3 linked regions of the Lytechinus pictus genome follow. The protein of the gene in region 1 purifies or fractionates together with the protein of each later gene. This does not show direct contact. Links are inferred from orthologs where the notes say so. Each region holds a gene or a part of one and is shown on either strand. Other genes may lie near its edges.

Evidence for each region.
Region 2: the proteins of E3 ubiquitin-protein ligase COP1-like (region 1) and DET1 homolog purify together in Homo sapiens (affinity purification with western blotting; 11 studies listed by BioGRID and IntAct, counting the BioPlex papers as one, with this or other methods). This does not show direct contact. The link is inferred for Lytechinus pictus from reciprocal best matches to the Homo sapiens genes COP1 and DET1.
Region 3: the proteins of E3 ubiquitin-protein ligase COP1-like (region 1) and tribbles homolog 2-like purify together in Homo sapiens (affinity purification with mass spectrometry; 4 studies listed by BioGRID and IntAct, counting the BioPlex papers as one, with this or other methods). This does not show direct contact. The link is inferred for Lytechinus pictus from reciprocal best matches to the Homo sapiens genes COP1 and TRIB2.

What each region holds. Positions count from the first base shown.
Region 1 is NC_087259.1:28,175,120-28,182,094, forward strand, and holds the start of E3 ubiquitin-protein ligase COP1-like, read right to left. Parts: upstream 3,002-6,975; 5' UTR 2,966-3,001; coding exon 2,940-2,965; intron 2,574-2,939; coding exon 2,476-2,573; intron 1,596-2,475; coding exon 1,531-1,595; intron 691-1,530; coding exon 574-690; intron 34-573; coding exon 1-33. UniProt on the Homo sapiens protein: E3 ubiquitin-protein ligase that mediates ubiquitination and subsequent proteasomal degradation of target proteins.
Region 2 is NC_087249.1:4,384,724-4,392,310, forward strand, and holds the start of DET1 homolog, read left to right. Parts: upstream 1-4,567; 5' UTR 4,568-4,826; intron 4,827-7,587. UniProt on the Homo sapiens protein: Component of the E3 ubiquitin ligase DCX DET1-COP1 complex, which is required for ubiquitination and subsequent degradation of target proteins. The complex is involved in JUN ubiquitination and degradation.
Region 3 is NC_087245.1:26,667,770-26,675,734, reverse strand, and holds the start of tribbles homolog 2-like, read right to left. Parts: upstream 3,021-7,965; 5' UTR 1,879-3,020; coding exon 1,624-1,878; intron 630-1,623; coding exon 337-629; intron 1-336.

The DNA.
Region 1 (6,975 bases):
TTTCAGGATCTGGATCTGGGCTACCTGGTTGTCCTATGGTAGAAACAAAAAGCAAAATAAAAAAGAATATTATTATATCAATAATTAATTGAATAGTCCTACTAGAATCTGAATATTTTAATTCAATGATATCTACTATGATTTTAGGTATAAGATTCATGAAAGCAATGTGCAGCATAGAGCGCAATGATGCTTAATGACGTTATAATGAACTACAAAAGTCGCATTAATTTGATCCCATGAAGTGAGGCTGTAAATGACACGACTTGCTCAATACAATTCCCCCTTTTTTTGGGGGGGGGGGGTGGGATAGATAATTATGATAATATTGGATGGCTTTATGTCATGGAATACCATAAATATTTCAACTGTTAGAGCCAATATTCCAATTAAATGCACTTCATGTAATATTAGCCCTAACTCTTGGAATATTTCTGGTATCCCATTCTGAGACATCAATTACAATATACTTATTAGTTATTATTATCATAATTACGACTTCATTGTCTTCTGCTACATAATGCAGCAATATCTCCCTGTTATAAAATCATATGAGAGTTATTTATTTCATACCATCTCCAGCTTCCTTTTCTTGCTGACTAGTACTTCTAACATGAGGTTGACTTCTGCTAGATCCCATTTCTCTTGGTCTTGAATAAATTCTTGAACATCAGGTGTAGGACCACCAGTCTAAGAGAAATCAATCAATGTATGTAATAGCCTTGTTCTAATGTTGTTGTTTTTTACATTGAAAATAGCGCATGCTAATATTTGGAAATAGTTCACTAAAAGTTTGAAATCATTAATCTGTATTAAAGCCTTATATTAATATTGTAATCTTCCATGGAAAGTATTTCTAAATACTCTTGAGTGAAAATTTAGCTATTTAAAAACAATATAATGGCCTTTTCAATTTTCCAGTAAAATTAGCGTATTGATAAATCTAAATGCATGATATGGTAATATCCATGGCAAGTGTTTTCAAACAGTGAAAATCTGACTCAATTTTTCAAAATGATATTTAACAATCGATCAGTTGAGAGGAAGACTTTTGCTCACATGTTCCATATTTCTCATTTCATGTAGTATTACAAACAGAATCTCCTTTATAATTCAACCAAACTGAATTAAGGCTGTCATTACTCTTCCCTAAACCAATATGTGATGTCACATCTATACAATAGTTTCAGAATTTGTATTATTCTACAAACAATATAAGTTCTAGCGACCTTTACAGTGAGAAGAATCAGACTGCATTTTATGTAACCATATATTTCCCTGGTAAAGCAATGGAAAAAATTACACAGGGGCTCAGGGTGATTTTGCCCCCAAATGGTCAAAAGAGCTTTGGAAAACCCACATTAGATTGTTTACATAACCTACTGCACAAATCTGTAATATTGGATAAGCTTGTCCAATATTACAGATTTGGGCAGTAGGTTGTGTATAGAAGTCCCTAAAAATGAACTATCAATTTTTTACCTGTGGTAAAGCTACACGTAGAACTTTCGTGAATCTAAGGCTTCTTACCTGAGGGCCAAGTTTTAACCTTTTCTCTTCAACTCTTTGTCTGTACTTCAGAATAAGTTCATTCACTGCAAAGAGAGAGAGAGAGAGAAGAGAGGTAAAAATCAAGATAATATACAGTGTACCAAACAAAGTGAAAACTATGTGTGTTATATCGCATTCACTTTAAAACAATTCCATGATTTATTGATGTCTTTATGTGGGAGCTTCCTAAAAGGATTGTCTCTGTTCTCAAATTCATATGAAAAGTTGTAAAGCTATCAAATCACCGTGAAGTGCCAAAAGGATTGGAGAAATTGGGAGTCTTTTGTACAAGAATAATTATTTTACTGAAATGCAGCTACATGTACATGCAGATTGTAAAATATGAACTCTTTCAAACTTTGATTATCAATTCAAAACATCTAAAATGCATTTCAAAGACCTGTTGACATAAAAATTTACAAGGCAATATGAGTACAGGTACATGCTATTATATGAAAAAGCAAAGCAAATTAGGTTTATATCACTGGTGGTTTTGTTCACCTCCTACATATAATGTGCACAATTAAATAATTCCAATAATTAGTTGCTTTATTGCTTTTTGTCTTTGTGAACTTGGACCATTATGCCCAGTACCCATCTATGGATCTTGTCATAAATATATATTCTCCGTCTTCATTAATATCAAAACAAAACAACTCTAATTACACAAGGCACCTGCCCACAGCCTCCAAGAAACTGTATTGCATGTTGTCACAGAGTCACAAGCAACCTCCAGAAAACTTCTACGGTCACTTATACAACACTGCATTCCTTGCAAACACATTAAACACAGAATAAAGACAATTTGCAAAACCAATAGTGCAGTATAATGCTTTCACCTTGGCTCCCTAATTTAGTCTCCTATCAACTCGTCAACTCGTATGTACAATATCGCATTACCTCGCAATAATGTACAAAACTTACAGGCAAAATTTGGAAATATTTGGTCAGTCTTCTCTATAACAAAATTGCACTTTGGACATCTGTTGCTTGTCTCCAGGCTTCGCAATATACATCTCCGGCTAAGAAAGAAAAAAAAAACATAAAATTTTAAGAACAGAAGAATGTAAGATGTTTGTGCTTTATTCTGTATGTGTGTGGTTATATTACCTGATAACATAACCTGCATAAGAGTGTTTTTTGACAGACATCCATATAATTCATTCATTGTTAAAGTTTCAAATCAATATTAAATGTAATTTATGTTTTATTTTTAATTTGGTCTAATGCGCCTTAAATGGAAGATGCCCTTTCTAAATTATAACTATTGTTATTATATCAGTAATCGTTATTATCATGTAGTCATGGTAGGTACCACAAGAAGTTCAATTGTATTGCCAACAAACATATTAACATGCAATTAGAAAGCTTCACTGATTTCATCTTACCAGAAACTGTGTCCACATCTTGTCATATGCGCCTCCTCAATAACTTCAAAACAGATTGGACTGAAAGATACAATACATGATCTAGAATTAGTAATTTCTCACAGAAGAATGATATTGTAAATTTCCAGGAAAAAGGTATTAATAAATGTGAATGAGAGTGTTAACATGTCTACAAATGTCTCCAAAAGAGACTTTAAAAATTCGATATCACAAAATTCATGAGCATCTATAGGTAAAAGATAAACAAAATTGAGTATAGAAGGGGGTGGTTGAAAACATTCGATATCAAAGCTATCTAAATCTTTGGTAAATGTTCAATTCAATTCATTTTATTATCATGTAATCACTAAAAACATTAAAACTGTTGTGAGACTCTTGATGCATAACATGATGAACAGGAAAGTGCACGTGAAAAAGTATTTATCACATCAGGGACACAAATTACAAATGAATATATCAGAAACAGAAATAATTCAGATAATTTGAATTAGACTAAAGTATCATCAAACATTCTAACATGACTGTTTATTTATTTTTTTAAGTTACAGCATACATGTACAGGTATCTAGTGACCTACATGTAAATGTGTCTTGGAAATATTCTGATTTATATTTTAATGGCCATAGAAATTTGGAGATAATACATGTATATCTTTATGAATCACAAAACAGTACATGTATTGTTGCAACTACTAGAACTTCGCAACAATGGCAACTCCATATCTTTAGAAAGGAAATAAAACTTGTTTTGCATTATGAGGAGGTAAACATCAAGATATGTATATATATATTTATATATATATTTTAATGGATTCATTGTTTATATTAGTCTGCCCACCTGTGTGCTTTGAAACACCTGTATGAAGCGGCTATATTTATATACATTATTATATTTTACATTTCATATAAAATAGTGATTGGGTAAAGTAGGTCTTCTCATATTGACCATGGTGCGCATCGTTTTGTGATATTAAGGAAAACTTTATAACATAACCTTTTTAATTTTACATTTGATTTTGATGAAATTTTCAGTGCTACATGGATACTAGTTTGATTTTTCTCTTTTCATTCAAACCAACTTTTTTGTTGGTGTGGACTTGCTCTTTTTAAGGAAGCATTGAAATCATTAACCACTTTTATAAATGATGGTCTATTTCAAATGCCTCATATCATACTACACATGTAGCAAAACTGAAACTGTCAAGTTTTTCTATTATTAGCCTAGCTGTCTGGTTTAATACTTTATATAAATACATGTACATAGTTAACATTTTTTGTTCATTTCATCTTAAATAGGTACATATAAATTCTTGTTAAACTGCATGGTTGAAGCAAATAGGGGAAAAAATCTATTCACCAAAATGACCCGTATTCTGGTTTAACTTTATTAGACCATGGTCTAACTCTGTGCTGAAATTATGGAAAGCCAAATATGTCAAAATTTTGTGTACATTTTAAGTTTATTGTGTTTACTTTGCTCTTTCTTATAAAGTCTTTGATGGTGGAGTTGACTATATCTTTCACAAACAGTTAAAGGTCAAGTCCACCCCCGAAAAATGTTAATTTGAATCAATATAGAAAAAATTAACAAGCACAATGTTGAAAAATTTCATCAAAATCGGATGTTAAATAAGTTACACATGTATGACATTTTAAAGTTTTGCTTATTATTCACAAAATAGTTATATGCAGAACTCAGTGACATGCAAATGAGAGTTGATGTCCCTCACTCACTATATCTTTTGTTTTTTAATGTTTGAATTATAAAATATTTCAATTTTTACAAATTTGACAATAAGGACCAACTTAACTGAACCATAAATTTTAAAAACAATGGTAATTCCACATATTCAGGGAAAATAAAACTTCTTTTACATTACCATGAGGAGAAAATTAGAATATTTCATATAATAAAATACAAAAGAAATAGTAAGCGGGTGACATCATCAGTCCCCTCATTTGCATACAGACCAGGATGTGCACATAACTGATTTTTCTCTTTTTCTTTAAACAACTTTTTGTTGGGGTGGACTTGTCCTTTAAGAATGATTCGAGAGTCAACTGAGCTGATAACATTGAACCTCTACTGTTAGGAATCGATGCAACAAATTGACTTTCTATAGTTAAACCACAACTTCAGACCACAGTTTGAATTTAACCCAACTTCAGAATACAGGCCATGGAGTTTTTTTTTCAGTTTCTCCTTTGTGTGCAGATGTTCATCTTCAAAAACTTTAAAACTTAATTATCTTACCAATTTATACAAATAAAATGGGCTGGTAAATAGCAGATGTTGCCAATTTGAGGGTTTATCATGTACATGTAGAATTGCACAAACTAAGGTATCACTTGATAATGTGGAAATCAATCTGATAGATATTGCAGTACTGTATATCTGGATGTGTATTAGCCGCATGCCTATTGGGCCTGGGAACGAGGAAGGATTTTTTGGCACAAAAAGCAATCTTCCCAGGGTTCACTCTCGTCACCTCTTGTCACAGTGGGTGGACCAGTGTGGTCAAATACATTTCAATATGGGTATGAAAAAAAAAGGCCCCCCCCCGTGATTTATTGAACGTACCTCCACCATGCCCCATGGAAAGATAAGGTGACAGAAAGAGAGAGAAAGAAGAAGCGAATAGAGTAGAGTACATGCATATACAGATACAGTATCGCTCGAAATAAAGTTGACAGATAACGCACGTGAAACGCGCTAACCAATGTGGGTCTGACTATCGCAATATTCACGCGCGTGAACGTCAGGCCAGTCTGAGGCAGATATCGCCGTGTTCTTGCCGGTGATTCGGCGCACGGCCACGGCCGCGAACTACTGTCTCGAGCTGCGATAATTATCGCGATAGGACTCCAATCAGCGAACCTTTTCTATATCATTCGCAAAGATTATGGGCATAGATTATTTCTTTGAATTACATTTTCGATAACTGATTGGCTTGGAAAACAACTCACATGTAGCGATCAGTGGAATCGCTCTGCTTTAGAATAAGAATCTAGAATCTACTCGGCCGCGCATCACATGCCTGGCCAGGCCAGCAAACAATCTTGGTTCACGTTCCTGGCCTCAGTTCTCCGCCGTACGCGCGCGCCTGCGAAATGAAATGGGTTGATAGACGCTGACTACGAGTTTGTATGCCAGCGCAGCTGTCCCAAGCAAAGTACTTAAATTGTTAACGTTGAAATAGATTACTCACAATCGTCCCTCAGACCATGGACCTATTACATGCTCAGACCCAACCAATAATTATCCATTTTGTTTCTTCCTTCTCCAGCTCTAGCTAGGGTCCGAGTATCTGCCTGATGTTGACTCTTTGCTGGCTGAGCCAAATCTCAAGGCCCGTATTTAGAGTCACATAGCTTTTTGCATCATTATTATTACTACTACTACTATTATTTCTATTATCATTATTATCATAATCATCGATGTTATCATTAATTCTACCACTATACCGGGTTTTTTTTTTCTAATGAGACCCGAGCCCTATAATGGATTGATTTAACTTGCGTGCAATTACACGAATGTAAGCTAAGAATTACCAAAATATGGACCTCTTAAGTGTTAAAAAATAGATTTAGTGATTTTGTTTCAAGCATGATAATTGTTTTGAGGGAATATCACATAATTTACCTCCCTATAATTCTCTCTTTTCTTCCTATTTCTCCACCTACTATGATCCCCGTTATGATAATTTTGTGTTCATTCATTAATAGAGAGTATACTGAAAGAAAGAATAGAAAAACACAATTACAATTATTATTATTTGCAGCTCATCAGTACGATGCAGCATTAACTTAAGTTTACGTTTGAAACAATAATTGAGTGAATAATTCGTCGAATTAGGCAGTCTTTAAATCAGTTTTCTGAGTAACTTACGTGATGACAGTGATGGTTATTATGATCGTGATGACAGTGATGGGTATTATGATCGTGATGATGATATCGAAAAGAAAGGTAATGACGGTGATCATGATGGTGATGATTGTGATTGTAATCCTAACGATGATGGCAATGACAAGAATGG
Region 2 (7,587 bases), on another chromosome or scaffold:
ACCTAATGCATTTATTTTCTAATGATTCTGAAATATACCATTGTGAGGACGGTTAAAGGCCAAGTCCACCCCAGGAAAATGCTGACTTGAATAAATAGAGAAAAGTAAAACTAGCATAGTGCTGAAAATTTCATCAAAATCGGATGTAAAATGAGAAAGTTATGACATTTTAAAGTTTCGCATATTTTTCACAAAACAGCTATATGCACAACTAGGTGAGTCAGTCGATGAGGTCAATCACTCACTATTTCTTTTTTTTTTTTTTTTTTTAATTATACAATATTTCATTTTTTATAGATTTGACAATAAGGACCAACTTGATTGAACCATATAGTACGTATTAAACAATGCTAATTCCACAGGGAGGAATTAATCATTGTATCACTTGACAATGGGGAGAAAATTAGAATATTTTATATTTCATACAATAAGATACAAAAGAAAAAGTGAGTTGGTGACGTCATAGTTTCCTCATTTGCATACCAGCCATGATGTGCATATAACTGTTTTGTGGAATTAAGCGAAACTTAAAAATGTCATAACTTTCTTATTTTACATCCGATTTTGATGAAATTTTCAGTGTTATGCTTGTTAGATTTTTCTCTTCTTATTCAAATCAACTTTTTGTTGGGGTGGACTTGTCCTTTAAGACTTTTGACAGGCCCTTGTTTCTGCTAGCGGGTTCGAACATAATATAAGAGAAATTTCGCTGTTAATCCATCTTTTAAAAATAATCCTTGTTTTAAACGCGGTGTCTCCACTACAACTACTTCGGGCAGATTCAAAGAAGACTCGATGAAGTTATATCGTAAAATAAAATTGAACGTAGTTGTGAAAAATCAATTTCCGCAGTATAAAATAATTTTATTAATAATAAAACTTTTCTTAACTACGTGTGATGGCTTTATACTTCTTAAAGTAACAGAATGGTGTCAAAATGTAGTGAGCAATTAAGGTGACTGGCAATGCTATGTGAAATTAAAAAATATAATGATATAAATACAAATAGATCTCACAACAAATAGTGTGCTGGGTTAATAAAGCATGTTCAGATTCAAAACTCTGTGATTCCTTATAACAATTGAATTTCCAATTTGGCTATTTTCTTTTAACTTGATCAAAGAATTTTGGATAACATTCTGACACTGTCCGTTTCGGGAAGGTTTACACAAACGACCAGGAAAGGGCGATCAATTCGAATAATTCAGTTGACATGTCGACCTACACTCTTAGAAATGTTTTAACTAACCCAAAATTTATTTCAAATATGGACCTACCAACTGTTAGTTGAAAGTTAGTTGAAACAAAATTCCATGCAAAATAATTGGGGTTGTTTTGACCAACAATTATTAGGTTCATATTTGAACGAACTCTTGAGGTGGTAAATCGAATTTCTGAGAGTCTATTTGTAAAGCAAAATCAAATCACCACAGCTTTGTGAAGTTCTTAATGACTTAGGATAATGAAAAACAAAAAATCTACCTCATATGATCTATGCAAACTGTTTTATTTTTTACCATACTGATCGGAATACATACCACCCCCCCCCCCCATGGCGCAACGGGGAGCATGGGGGCACGTGCCCCCCAATCGGCTAGCAAAGGCCAAAAAGGAACCAGGGAAATGGAGAGAAAGAGGGAGAAAGGAAAAGAAACGTAATGGGGAAGAAAAAAATTATTGTTTATTATAATGTTATATTATGTTATAATTATTTTATTTTATATTACATAAGAAACAAATTTTTTCATAACTTTATGAAACAATGTTTTGCTCAGGGCCTATGTTTTCATTGTCCCTGGTGCTCACATTGTCTGTTTAACGAGATATGTAATCCTGTTGTACTAAAACCTCCCGTTTTCAAGTCAATATACACCAAATATTTCATCGCACCTCCAGTTATTATTTTTTATGTAGTGACATATGCTTCTTTTTCATGACTACTTAAAGTGATTGCCCCATTTTAAGGTCTTAATATGAAACATATCCTGTTCGTGCTTACGTTCACACTAGTGGATTGGTGAGATATATCTGCTCCTTTTCATGAATTCCTATAATCAGTCCTTAAAATGTCCCTTTTTCTGATCTGAATATCAAAAATTTTCAGCTCGCGCTTCGCGCTCCCATCATTTTGGTTAGTGAAATAAGTGCGGTCTTCGTGAAATCCTACAAACAATCCTTGAAATGCCTCTTTAGGTCTGAATTTCCTAAATTTTCAGCTCGCGCTTCGCGCTCGCAATATTTGATTAGTGAGATGCATATGTTAATATTGATTACAAAAAATTGCTTATAATGTCCCCTTTTAATGGATTCTTCTTATTATTATTCTTAATATTATTTTAGGTCTGAATATCATTTTTTTTAAGTACGCGCTCGCATTATTTGATCAGTGAGATACATATCCGTTTAATGGCACTGTCCTGAACATGTCTCTATTAGGTCAGTATACCTGGCAACTGAGCGCGCTTCGCGAGCTCACTAAGTGACTCAAAAATTTTGCTGGTGCCCCCCAATGCCGTGACCCAAGGTACGCCATTGCCACTCCCCCCCCCCTTCTTTACACTTAAACTTTAAATAAATACGCAGGGTTTTCGACATGATTGTGACATGCAGCTTCGTATGTATATGATTGACTATCAACAAAAGTTTGCATTCCATGTTCTGAAAGTCCATAACCCATTTTATCCTGAAAAGCTTTTGAGGTTAACATATGTGAAATATGTTTAATATCTGAAAATATAATCATTATGTGCCCGCAGATCCTTCCAGCATGCTTTTCTTTTCATAACAATATTTACCAAAATCCAAGAAACTATGTTTACGGGAAAGCTGCTTGCATGGTACTACAAAATACCAAAATGGCGTTAGGTAAAGACGTGCTCAAAGAATTTCATCTTGCACTTGTCAATAACAAATTTTAAAATGGTGATAAAAGGTTACCCCACTCAACAGAAAAATGTCGCACAAGACTTTGATGTTGAACCAGTGAAAGCAACTCCATTAAAAGTTTACTCAATCAAATTGCAATTACCATAGTTTTTTGTGATTTCCATCAATCAAAATCAACGATTGCGATTGATAGGTAAGGCAAATAAAATTCTGGGAACTGAAAATAGTTAAGTCTTTGAAGGCAACCTCTTTCATAATCTCATCTCATATTAGTTATTTTTATTTTGTAATAAACCCTTTTTTCATAAAAATTGCAATATATAATTAGCCAATGATTTTTCTTTTATTAGATCAAGCATGTCAAACTTATTGATAGGTCGACTACGTTTGTTCTTTGGAGAATTTGGAGGTGGTAATAAATCATTTAAGTATATAATTATATTTTTCATAAACTGTTTATGTTGAAGAATAGACACAATAGCTATGTAATGGTGGTTTTATGAATTTTAGACATAATTATGCACGTACGGGACACTTTGCAATATGCATTGTATTTAATAATAAATAAAGGGGGAATACTTCGTTATAGCCTATATACGGAGCATATTTTCTGTGTTTTTGAATACTTATTAAACTCTCGTTCTTATTCACCAAAGAAGAAGTATTCAATATTGATGATATCTTGATCATGATATATGACAAATATAATTTCAGTCAGCAAAAATTAAATGGTCCCATAAAAATCTATTCCCAATCGTGCAATTAATGTCAAGTCTTGTTCATTGTGTTTCGAGTAATGTTTTTGTCCCATGATTATCGTAACACAATTGAAAAACAAAAGGATTATATAATTTAAAGAAACTATAAACAAAATTCTTAATAATACTTCTAAAAAGAATTTGATTCAAATACAAAATCATTCCGTCAGAAAATAAGAATGAACGAGATGGATATTGTTTTTATTTAGCAAAAATATATTATTTTAGACCTTGGCAATGGGACAGTTAAGTAGAGGTGCCGTGGCCGAGTGGGCTAAGGCGCCTGGCTATGCATTTGCTTTTAATAGACTCCATTCATTTTGGAAAAACATGTGAACAATACGACACCCATTTACAAATTCAATGCAAATATTCCAAATGTTGATCTACAGCTCTCGATTTCCTAATTCCTTTCTGTTTTTATTTTTAACTCAAATCTTGCATTAAGTTGTTTCAATGTATTCAGTTTATTTAATATCATGGCATAACGTTATATCCCCCTCCCCTCCGCGTGACACGCAGACAAATGTATTAGGAATATGATCTCAAATGAAAGTGATGAAATATAAGAAAACATTTTTTTAATGTTTTAGTAGGGCCTATCGCTAGTTCGTTTCTTCCTGAAAAACTTGTTTTTTCGCTTGGAGTTCATCTTTGGTTTATGTTTTGTGTGCTGTATTTGTGTTAGAATTTGGGGCAAGTTGGGGTTTATTGTGTACGTGTTTTTTTTTCTTATTTTTTGTTGTTGTTGTTGTTCTTTTTACAACAGAAATTGCACACCCAACTCTCAGTGCACTTTTTTTTCCAACTGAGATATCCCACATGTTTATGAGCACCGTCTACCAGTCTTCACCACCAACCACTGACCAACGCTACGCTAACGAACACTTGCTGCCCTCTACGTTCGTTGGTCTTCATCAATTTCTATCAAGCTAAGGAGTACTCATACTACTTGAGCTTGGCCTTGGTAGTCTGCACAATTTAAGTTGAAGTGGCTTTGATTTTACACTGCGAACATGGATGCTAATCGATTTTTCAGGAGATATTCATCATAACTAAGCCAAGAATTCTTCATTGTTGTATTAAGATGCAAAATTCAGCAATAGATGGAATGAGCAATGAGGTACGCTGATTGCAAATGAGAAGCAAGTCAAGTGCCGTGCCCCACATGTCTATATTCGTGTAAGTATACATGCATAAGTGCATGAAAAGGCGCTATCCCTATGGACGGTCTCACTAAGTTTACTTCTCTCTCATTAATAAGACTAAGAGACATAGTCAGATGTAACTTATGATGAATTGGTAGTGTTTTTTTTATTATTGGATAATGCTGTAAGTCGAAGCTGTGATCGGCGGCGAAGCACACCGAATGATAAATTGCCAATTTTCATTTTCAATCGTCATTCCATATCTGCACAGAATATAGGAATTTCGAGCCGTTGTTTATCTCGAAGTTTGGGGATTTTTTTGTCGGGATATGTTTAAAGTGTTTTGAGGTGCTAGCTATTTATATATTTAAGGAAAGAACTCTTGTTTTCTGAAAAAGAAGTGTACATGTTTCTGTAGAAGACACATTTTCGTAGACTAGAGTCAGAACCACTCACACAACATGCGAGGTTAGTATACTAACCTCGCACAACACATGTGATTTCATAGTGCATTTTGACGTTTTCATTCATCACACGAATGTGAGGGACTAAACTACGCCAAACCTTTCAATATTTGTCCACTATGTTAATTTTGATCGTATGGTTTAAGTTTTTTAGAAAAAGAAATTATAAATTATTTATTAAAGTGTTTTTATCGCTTACCTCCAAATCTCAACCAGGATACTTCGCTCGGTCCGTCCTTAGTCATCCTTCGTACTGCGGTGGAAATTACGCAAACAACAATCGAAATGCGAAATTTTCCTATCGAACATTCTCGATTCAAGTCGTCGGCGCATAATAGGAAATTGTACCAAAAATCAACATAGTTCTCTATTTATTCAAACAATTTTTTCTGGGGTGCACTTGACCTTTAAGAGATTTTCCAATGAAAATATTACATGGAACTTGGAAATACAAATCATAATTTGGTTGAACAAAATGTTTTCTGTTAAAGTATAAAACAGAAGAGGAACATATCCTTCACGTATTTTTATATCCAAAATATGTTGCCTTAGTATGGAATAATCACAATGACATAAAATGAAAATGGGTAAAGTACCTTCCTAATGATCATTGAGATTTCGCCTATGGAATCATTGTTTAATAATTTTCAAAGCTTTAAATAGATGAAAATGTTCATTGAGAAAATATACATTTATATATATGAACAAAATGATAATGTCCCGATTGTTTCGCATTACGTGTGTTAGATTGCGGGCGTTTGTGTGTGTGTGTAGGAAGCAAGATATTCGTGTTAATGTTTGCACAAAAAAGGAGAGGGAAAGGGAAAGGAAAAGGGGAGGGGGAAAGGTAGAGGAGAGAGAGGGAAAAGGAGACCATAAAATAGAAAGAAAACAAAGGAAAGGAAGAGGGGAAGGGAGAGAGAAAGAAAAATGGAAAGAGCGAGAAAAGAGTAGGGGAGGGAGAAAGGAAAGAAAAGAAGGGAAAGGAAAAAGGGAGAAAGGGAATGGAGGGGGCGGGAAAGGAAAGGAGAGACAATAAAAGACAGATCAGGGGAGGGGGAAAAGTAGAGGAGAGAGAGGGAAAAGGAGACCATAAAATAGAAAGAAAACAAAAGAAAGGAAGAGGGGAAGGGAGAGGGAAAGAAAAATGGAAAGAGCGAGAAAAGAGTAGGGGAGGGAGAAAGGAAAGAAAAGAAAGGAAAGGAAAAGCGAAAAAGGGAAGGGAAAGGGAGAGAAGAAAAGAAGGGAGAAGACGAAAATGGGGAAAGGGAGAAGGAGAGGGGATGATGAAGGGGATAGGAAAATGTCAAGTTTGAAGATCTGCATATTAACACTAAAACAAAATTAGACTCCCATGTTTTATTTATAAAAATACCTTCTTTTTCATGATTATAAAGGTTCAAATGCCCTCGCATTATTTTTCATTTAGATACAGTCCTGTCATCAATATCAATAACTCTAAGCGCGAGCTTCGCGCTGGCATCATTTTTGTAAGTGACATTTATGATGTTGTTCATATTTTAAAAATGTCCATTTGTTGAGGTTTAAATGTCCAAAAGTTCAGCGCTCGCATAATTTGTAAGGTAAATAGGCCTACCCTTTTAATTGTTATACAAAGGCGCTTATACAACGTCCAGAATGCAGTTCGGAATATTGAAAATAACTAAAATAAAATATGATGAAAAAGTATCGTTAAGACTGAATTAAGAAAAAAAGAAGCTCACGTTTCACGCTCGCATTTTGATCCGTTAGCTTGTGATAATAATGGTGACTTTGTTAATATATCTTAGCGGACATGTCCACCTTTTGGTGCTTCAAGAAAAATAAACACAACACACAAATAATAATAGAAAACGAACAAGAATAGAATAGATAGTTACCTATCCCCCTATCCCACTCATGAATTCTTATTTAAAAGTCCCCAAAACGTCTTTTTTTCGTGTTAGCTTATTTCATATACATATATATATATATATATATATATATATATATATATACAGTGCGTCCCAAAAAAAACTATACACTTTTGAAATGGCTGCCAAATAAAAAGTATATCACTTTGGGGGAAAAGACATATATATATGGAAAGCCGATAAAGTCGTCTTTCAAATGACACCAAAATGTTGGAAAACTATTCATGCTTGAGTGAGCACTACCCGCTTAAACAAAGGGTATGAAAATTAGGGTGGGCAGGAATTAGCCTTTCGGTTTCTTTCAGTTTTTGAGAGGCGAGTCCCTTGGAACTTGCAAACTGGAGGGTTTTCTGATGAATTGATGGTCATTCATTATCAATTTAAATTGTTAGAGCAAATTTCATGAATTATCAAATTG
Region 3 (7,965 bases), on another chromosome or scaffold:
AAAGTTACAGGTAATTATGATAGTAATACATAAGATTATTGACCTGAATCATCCTTTACCCTGCAACCTAACATGTAACTGTGTATTACATAAATGGCAATAATAGATTACCAGTACTTTCTAACAATTATGAAATGCTTTTGTATTGAATTGATTTTTTCTATTACAAGTACAGTGTAACATAATTGGGTTTCCCATCGATTTAGACTGACATTAGAAGACAACAACTGATAGATATTATCCTCAAGTGAGTCAAATCTCAAATGTACTTTGTGTCAATAAATCAAGAGAATAGTAAAAGCCTTGACATTTGACAGATTTGACACTGTGCAATACCTTTCTTCTTTCTTGAAGACAAACTTGCGCAGCTTCAGGTCCCGCAGGATGACGCCATGGGCATGGCAGTGAGCAACGGCTTGCACCATCTGATGAAAGAGGGAGGCAGCCTCCCGCTCTCGCAGCTTGCGCTTCCGCCTGACATAGGAGTGCATGTCTCCATGGGTGATGGGCAAGATGACATACGCCTGACTTTGACCATGCAACACCTCTTCAACATGGTTAATATGGGGATGATAGCCTAAGTGAAAGTGTACAGCAAATGCCTCCCGGTATTTATCCACATCCACTACCTGTATTAACAAGAATAAGAACAAAATCATCATATTTGTATGAATTGTTGCAGTATACATGACATGTACAGTAGGTCTGTATAAATGACGATATCACAATATTGTCAAATTTCAATGATGTGAATACATGTATATTGAAAACGGTATACAAACTATACATCATAATCCAAGATATGAGGATTCTCGTATCTGGATAGGTTGAAGGCTATATTTACCACTTATTGAGTTTTTAAGACTTAAGAAACCTGTCTTGAATAAAATGCTAATCATTGAGTTACATGTACATGTAGATAAGAGTAATAAAACGTTTTTTTACCATGGTGAAAGAGAAAGTATTGTCAACCCCAATCACTTTCCTTTTAATCTCATCCATTGCACCTGCCCGAGTACTTATTATAGCAACACAAATTTTGCATTACTAGTATATTTATAGAACTATGATGTGACACGCACCAAATACGGGAATTGGCCTGGACTTTACCAGCCTCAAACGTTAACCTACATGTATGTGTACATATGACAGCCATTGACGAACTGTTAGCACCAATCTTTCCTGATGCCTGTGTACATGTTGGAGCGATGATCATCTACATTCATAGAGCACAAATTTTAGATAAATTCATATAATAAACAGAACTACGAAGAAAAAGTGGGGAGATGAAATGATAAGCTTGCTCATTGTTACATCATGCATGTACTTATGAAGACTTACAATGTAAATTGATACACTGACTGAAGTTATGACAAACTTGAGTTTTTCAAAAGTTGTTTTCCTTGTTTAATGAAATTTTCAGTGAAAATTCTATTGGTCTGATTCTACTTTTTCTGTTCAACACTAGTTCAAATCACATTTCTTTCAGCTTGGAGTAACTCTTTACAGTACATTTCCTAAAGGGGTAGATAAGAATTCTGTATTGCTGTTAAGCTTCGACATTGAAGGAAGAAGGACTGCCCATAAAAAAAAAACCTTAATTACAAAATCTTCTGAGCTCACCTTACAAATGCATTCTTTGTTATTTAAAGTATCAATACACTTGTTTACTTTCGGAGCTACTTCCTCCAGGAGAACATAATTTCCAATTCTCGAGACTACATGATCCTCACTGGATACAAAACTTGGCGGACTCGGGGAAAGTTGTGGCTGAGGACTCAATTGTCCACCAGTTGATTCGGAAGAAACGTCCTGAAATATTTGAAATTTACCCCGACCATGATGGATCGGAATAGGGGCAGATGCAAAATTGTTCATCAAGTGACAATTTATTTCTGATTCCTCTCTGACCCGATTCAAGCTCAGCAAATTAAACCTCTGACCAAAAAGAGAAACAAAATTTTGCTAGTTGTTTTTTACATCAACAGTGCTACACTAGAACTTTAGGCTACTCTTTTGGTTTGTAGTTGTTTGTATCTACTATGGTTAAAAGCAAAATTCACTTCAATAGTTCACAGGTTTATTCCAGTATACTTTCGGCCGTGTATCTTTCTCCGTAGTTGTGTCCTGGGCCTCCTGGCTTCTTAACACACCGATGAATGATGCTGCTTAATATAACATTAGCAGCACTTAGGAAAGTTAGTTAGGCCTAGATTAAATTACTAGAGTTAGATGCTCCTTTTCAACAACCCTGAGATTTACTTTTACTTTAAGAGAAGTCTCTGATATTATTTACGTGAAATAGATAGCAAAATATTGGCAACTGCCAAATATCTGATTCAGCTGCGCTGGAAAATGGAATTAAAATCATTCAAGACAATGAAGAGGTCCAGATCCTCTCAATTTTATTAAAAACACACTGAATTGGTCCTGCCAATATTCATATGGAATTTCAGTTCACTTGTCAAGTTGTCTTCAGTTCAGGAAGTTCAGCTTCACAATTCAATTTCTAGGGCAAGTCCAAGAAAAACATAAATAACAGATCCAGCCGTCGTGTTCGGAGCTGAGTCGCTAGTCCAGCTAACGTCAAAGCTTGTGTTGAAGACGGTAAGATGTGCTTGCTTGATATTGTAAACGTGTAAATAATACACAATTCATCGAATGACGCAATACCAATCCGAATCTGATCAATGCAATTGCAATGCAGGGCGTCGTAACGTTGTCTCTCTATGCCACGAAATAGGTTGCACAATGCTGAGTGATGACGGACTCTGTAAATTTTTTTGTCAGGGTGATTTATCGAATTCCAAATTGTTTCCTTCTCTGCCAAAAGTTGAGACTCCAGAGTGATATTTGCTAAGCACCGTTAGATGCTTTCTAACGACGCCTTTACCCTGCTCAGTGGATGGTCTCTGAAAATTCGAGAGCCAAAGGCGGCTAATTGGACTCCGTCGGTGCCATTTTGATTGCAAAATAAAACTTTGCGAGCGCAAAACGCGCTTACGCGCGCGTATCCGAATTATTACACACAAGCAACGAAACCCAATTCAAGCTATGCAAACAATGATTGCGAAATACTACGTGACATGATGACGCAGCGATGAGTTGTCATCCGACACACCATATTTGGAAAACGAACATCCTTATACGTTGGGCATTATAGGTCACATTATTCTATAGAGATATATAAACTCCGTATTATTTAGCTCCAGGATTTAGCTAACATGCACCCCGGCACGCATCCCTCTATAAGAAAAGAGAGAGGGGCGGGGAGAGAGGATATAGAGAAGGAATTAAAAGAAAGGAAAGGAGAGAGAAAACTGAGGAGAAAAAAAAGAAGGGAAGGGATCATGAGGAGGGAAGAGAGAAATAAAGGAGAAGAAAAGAAGAAAAAGAAATTTAGGGGAGAGGAGAAAGAAAAGGAAGGGAGAGAGAGAGAGCTAGCATGATAAGTGGAATGAAAAGTAAATGAAGGAGAGAAAAGCGGGGAGAAAAGACAAACTTAAACTCGAGGGGAAGAAATATCACTGATTTTTTTTCAACAAAATTTGAATATATGAGTCTCAAAGCCCTTAAACCCCTTTGTACCATGGAGGTATGTTTGCACTATATAGATATCATTAGAATTGAAAAGATAATGGGAAGGGATAGGCGGATCTACGGCCCTATGGGGCAAAGCGAAAGAGAGAGAGAGAGAGAGAAGACAAAGAAAAGTAGAAATGGAATGAAGAAACAAAAGATGAGCTGGAATGAAGAGCCAAAAAAAGAGAACGGAAAAAACAAACAAAAGAAATGTGACGAAAATAAGAGGGGGAATGGCAATTTTTTAATCTTAAACAAAATTAATAATTCTTCACAGGTTCCCTTCCGAGTCAGGAAAAAGATAAACTGAATTATCAAAATTGTTCATTGAATACACATCTTTACTTTATTTCATATTGTACCTAAAATGTATAGTTTTCAGATCGAAATATTAAATATTTTCAGCTCGCGACCACTGGACGAGGCGTTGGAAACATAAACACAAAGAAACGGGAAGAGCGGCTTGATTTGATCAAAGTCATCTCATCATACACTCTTGACTGCCTTGCTGTATGGGATAGGACTTTTTTTGTAAAAAAAGGGTATGACCCCACCGCTTACATTCACGCCACGAAGAGGAAAAGGGGAAGGGGGGAGAGAAATATACGCCTACATAAGAGGGAAAGATAAGTTGAAGGGGAAATGGAAAATAAGAACAGAGAGGGAGATTAAGAGAATAAAGGGAAAACAAAAGAAAAGGGAACATACAAAACACGTCAGAAAGAACAGACCCACCCCCGGGGGGGGGGGGGGAGGGTATATACTCACGAAATAAGGCATACGGGGATGTGCCGCTGGAATGGGTCGCTTTTTGGAAGAATTCCCTAAACATGCATGGGTATGGTTTTATGCTGGAAAATCCCTAAACATGCCCCCAATTTTTAGATACTGGCCTTAAACATGGGTCCATGGCCCCATTTTTTAAATACTGGCCTTAAAGATGGGTCCATATTCTCCATTAAAAAGTTAGTTTCGTTCATGCTTGAGCGAACACGGAATGTTTTTGTCTGGGGTTCAAAAAGAGGCTTGCGCCAAAATGGTAAAAAAATAGAAATTTGATGATCAGACTTCTTGCAGCAGACTTCCTCTTAATATTTTTATTATCTTTGCCATGATTTTCGAATTGTGCTGTCAAATTTCACTTTAAAAAATTACTTATTTACTTGAATTATTTTGGTTTTTTTTCATTTAAACTTCTTTTACCTTTGAATTTTAATTCATAAGAAAGAAAAAGAAGAACTTTTGTCAACCCAAGCAAGAAGATTTGCATTATTAATTGGGAGAACTTGTAATTATTTAAATCCTTTTATTATGTGAAACGAATTATATGTTATGGTACCTTTAAAAAACATTAATCCTATTTTCAAGGGGTTATGTGCTGGACAGGACAAAGAGGAAAGGATTCATGTCTTTCAATGGCAATGGTGTATTGAGTCAATTTTGAAGGAGCTAGATATGGCAGATCGGATAAAATATATTAAAAAATTGTGAGCGAGTAAAGCGAGAACTCAAAATTTCCACTTTTTTATTAAAATATCAAATTTTGTGTTAGATTTTGACATAATATCAAAAAATAAATTAATCATATTTCACGTTCTATCTTTTCCTTTATTTCCTTTCAATTTATTTCTGGCCACGATTTTTTTTATTTGGGGGCACCCCTGAGCCCCCACCCATCTGTATGCCACTGTTCAAAGGCACCATAACCTTTGTAGTACACAATGAAAGATGTGAAAAAAAATACACGCTCTCCCATACTTCGGTTGAATAATTTTTGTGTTTACTTAAAGAAGGAATATTCAAAGCTTAGAGAACATAAAAAAGAAACAACAACAGAACAATTCAAGCAAACAAACAGATTTGAAAATGAATTTTGACCTCATAATTCGAAAATTATGGCAAAGATAATGAAAAGGTTAAGAGGAAGTCTGCTGATTAGCAAGAAGTCCGATCATCATATTTATTATTTTATGCCATTTTGGCGCAAGCCTCCTTTTTAACCCCAGACAAAACATTCCGTGTTCGGCCAAGCATGAACGAAACTAATTTTTTAATAGCATTTGAAAGATACGACTTCAGAGCACCTATTAACACCAAAATAATATAGACATCATAATAAGAAATAAAAAATTTAAAGACTTTTCAAATCTGCCCCGTTTTTTTATACGCAATGTAAAGGACACTCATCCAAACTCTTATTCTTTCTTTCAGTCTCTTGTGAGACCTTGAATAGAATATGAACTCCGAATAGATGGCGCTATAAATGCAAATTGTTGTTGTTATTATTATTATCATTATTATTATTATTATCAGGCCCAGGGGCGGATCCAGGATTTTCCAAAAGGGGGGGGGCACAATGATATTTTCCCGATGAAAATTTGACAAGAAAAAAAAGGAAAAAAAAAGTTTTTACCAAAAATTGAAGGTCATTTCGTCCGCGGTTCGGAAGGGGGGGGGGGGCACACTTGAGTAAAACGGAATATTTACATTATAAATTTTGATTTTGGCTCCCAAAAGGGGGAACACGGGCCGGCTATGCACCCCGGGACCCGCCACTGATTAGGCCTACTAATAAATAGGGGAAGTGGGGTGGGGTAAATTAAAGGATGACAAAGTTGATTTCTACTATCAAGTCTCGCGCAACGTTTCTTTGAGACCAAATTTGTGACGCCCGGGTACGCGGTTTAGAAATTACACAACATTATAAAAAATTATTATGTAAGAGCATGTCAAACCAAAAATTGCTCAAAAACGTAATTTCAAAGTCAATACAAAGCGTTTTCCAGCTAAAATTCCCAAGTAACAACTACTCAAATGACTGCATGCAGCGGAGGCAGGGGCACTTGCCCCTCACCCCGAAACTTTGACAATTTACATCTTTTACTGAAAATTTTCCCAAATTCACCCAAAGTATGCACGAAATCCTTTATTTTCACTTTACAAAATGCTAAAGTGCCCCCAATGACAAGCTTGGTTGCTTCATACGCTCGCTTTCATTTTTTTTTCGAAAAAGTTAACACATTCCCCCCCCCCCCGCAAAAAATCTGTGAACGGCCATGTTTACTTTAATTGAAAGCAGTCTTATAATTTGATATACTATTGATGGCCGAAACAATATCACGGACGGATTTTGTATAAAAAAAAAATAATAAAAAGAACATAAAACAAAGACATCTTAGACATTTAAAAAGAAATAGGCCTACATAAGAATTCGAGTTTGGTATCAGATTTTTTTCATTTAAAGTGAAGGTCATTTTGGTTACATTTTTCAATTCTTTACACATCTTCTATAATACCTTGGGGTGCTCCCTATGCAGAATAATATACGCAGCACCCCAAGGACATTTTTTATGGTGCTTCAGGCCTTCAGCACCCCAGCACCCCCGCTTCCCAGGGCCATGATTTTCGTCAAAAGTTAGCCTTCTAGAACCGTTATAGCAAAAAGTATGATTTCATAAATTGTTTAACATAACTATTCGTATAAAATGTATAGATTTATTGCAATTATAACCTATATCGCGTAGATTATGTCATTCTCTACCCTCTTGCCAATTTTCGTCACGATCGCGCGATTCCCTGTCGGAATCTTCGAAGGGGGGGGGGGCAAAAAGAAAAGATTTTGATTTCTCACAAGATAACTGAACATGATGAATATAAATATGATGTGGCAAGTAATAATTCTTGTTGACAGGTTCATCTAGGTTCTTAAAGGTCAAGTCCACCCCAGAAAAATGTTGATTGAAAAAATAGAAAAAAAATCAAACTAGCATAACGCTGAAAATTTCATCAAAATCGGATGTAAAATAACAAAGTTATGACATATTAAAAGTTTCGCTTATTTTAAAAAACAGCGATATGCACAACTCAATGACATACAAATTAATGAAACAGTCAATGATGTCCCTCACTCATTATTTCTTTTGTTTTCTATTGTTTGAATTATACAATATTTCATTTTTTACAGATTTGACAATAAGAACCAACTTGACTGAACCATAAAATATATTAAACAATGCTAATTCCACATGAGCATGGGGGAAATACCCGTTGTTTCACTTGACAATGAGGAGAAAATTAGAATATTTCATATAATAAAATACAAAAGAAATAGTGAGTGGATAATGTAATCAGTCTCCTCATTTGCATACCGATCAGGATGTGAATATAACTGTTTCGTGAAATTAAGCGAAACTTTAAAATGTCATAACTTTCTTATTTCACATCCGATTTTGATAAAATTTTCAGCGTTATGCTTGTTGGATTTTTGTCTTTTTACTAAAATAAACTTTTTGTTGGGGTGGACTTGTCCTTTAAGTTAGGCTTAAAGATAACTTTAAGAAGACAATGAACATGCGCGGATCCATATAGGCCCGACGATGGCTA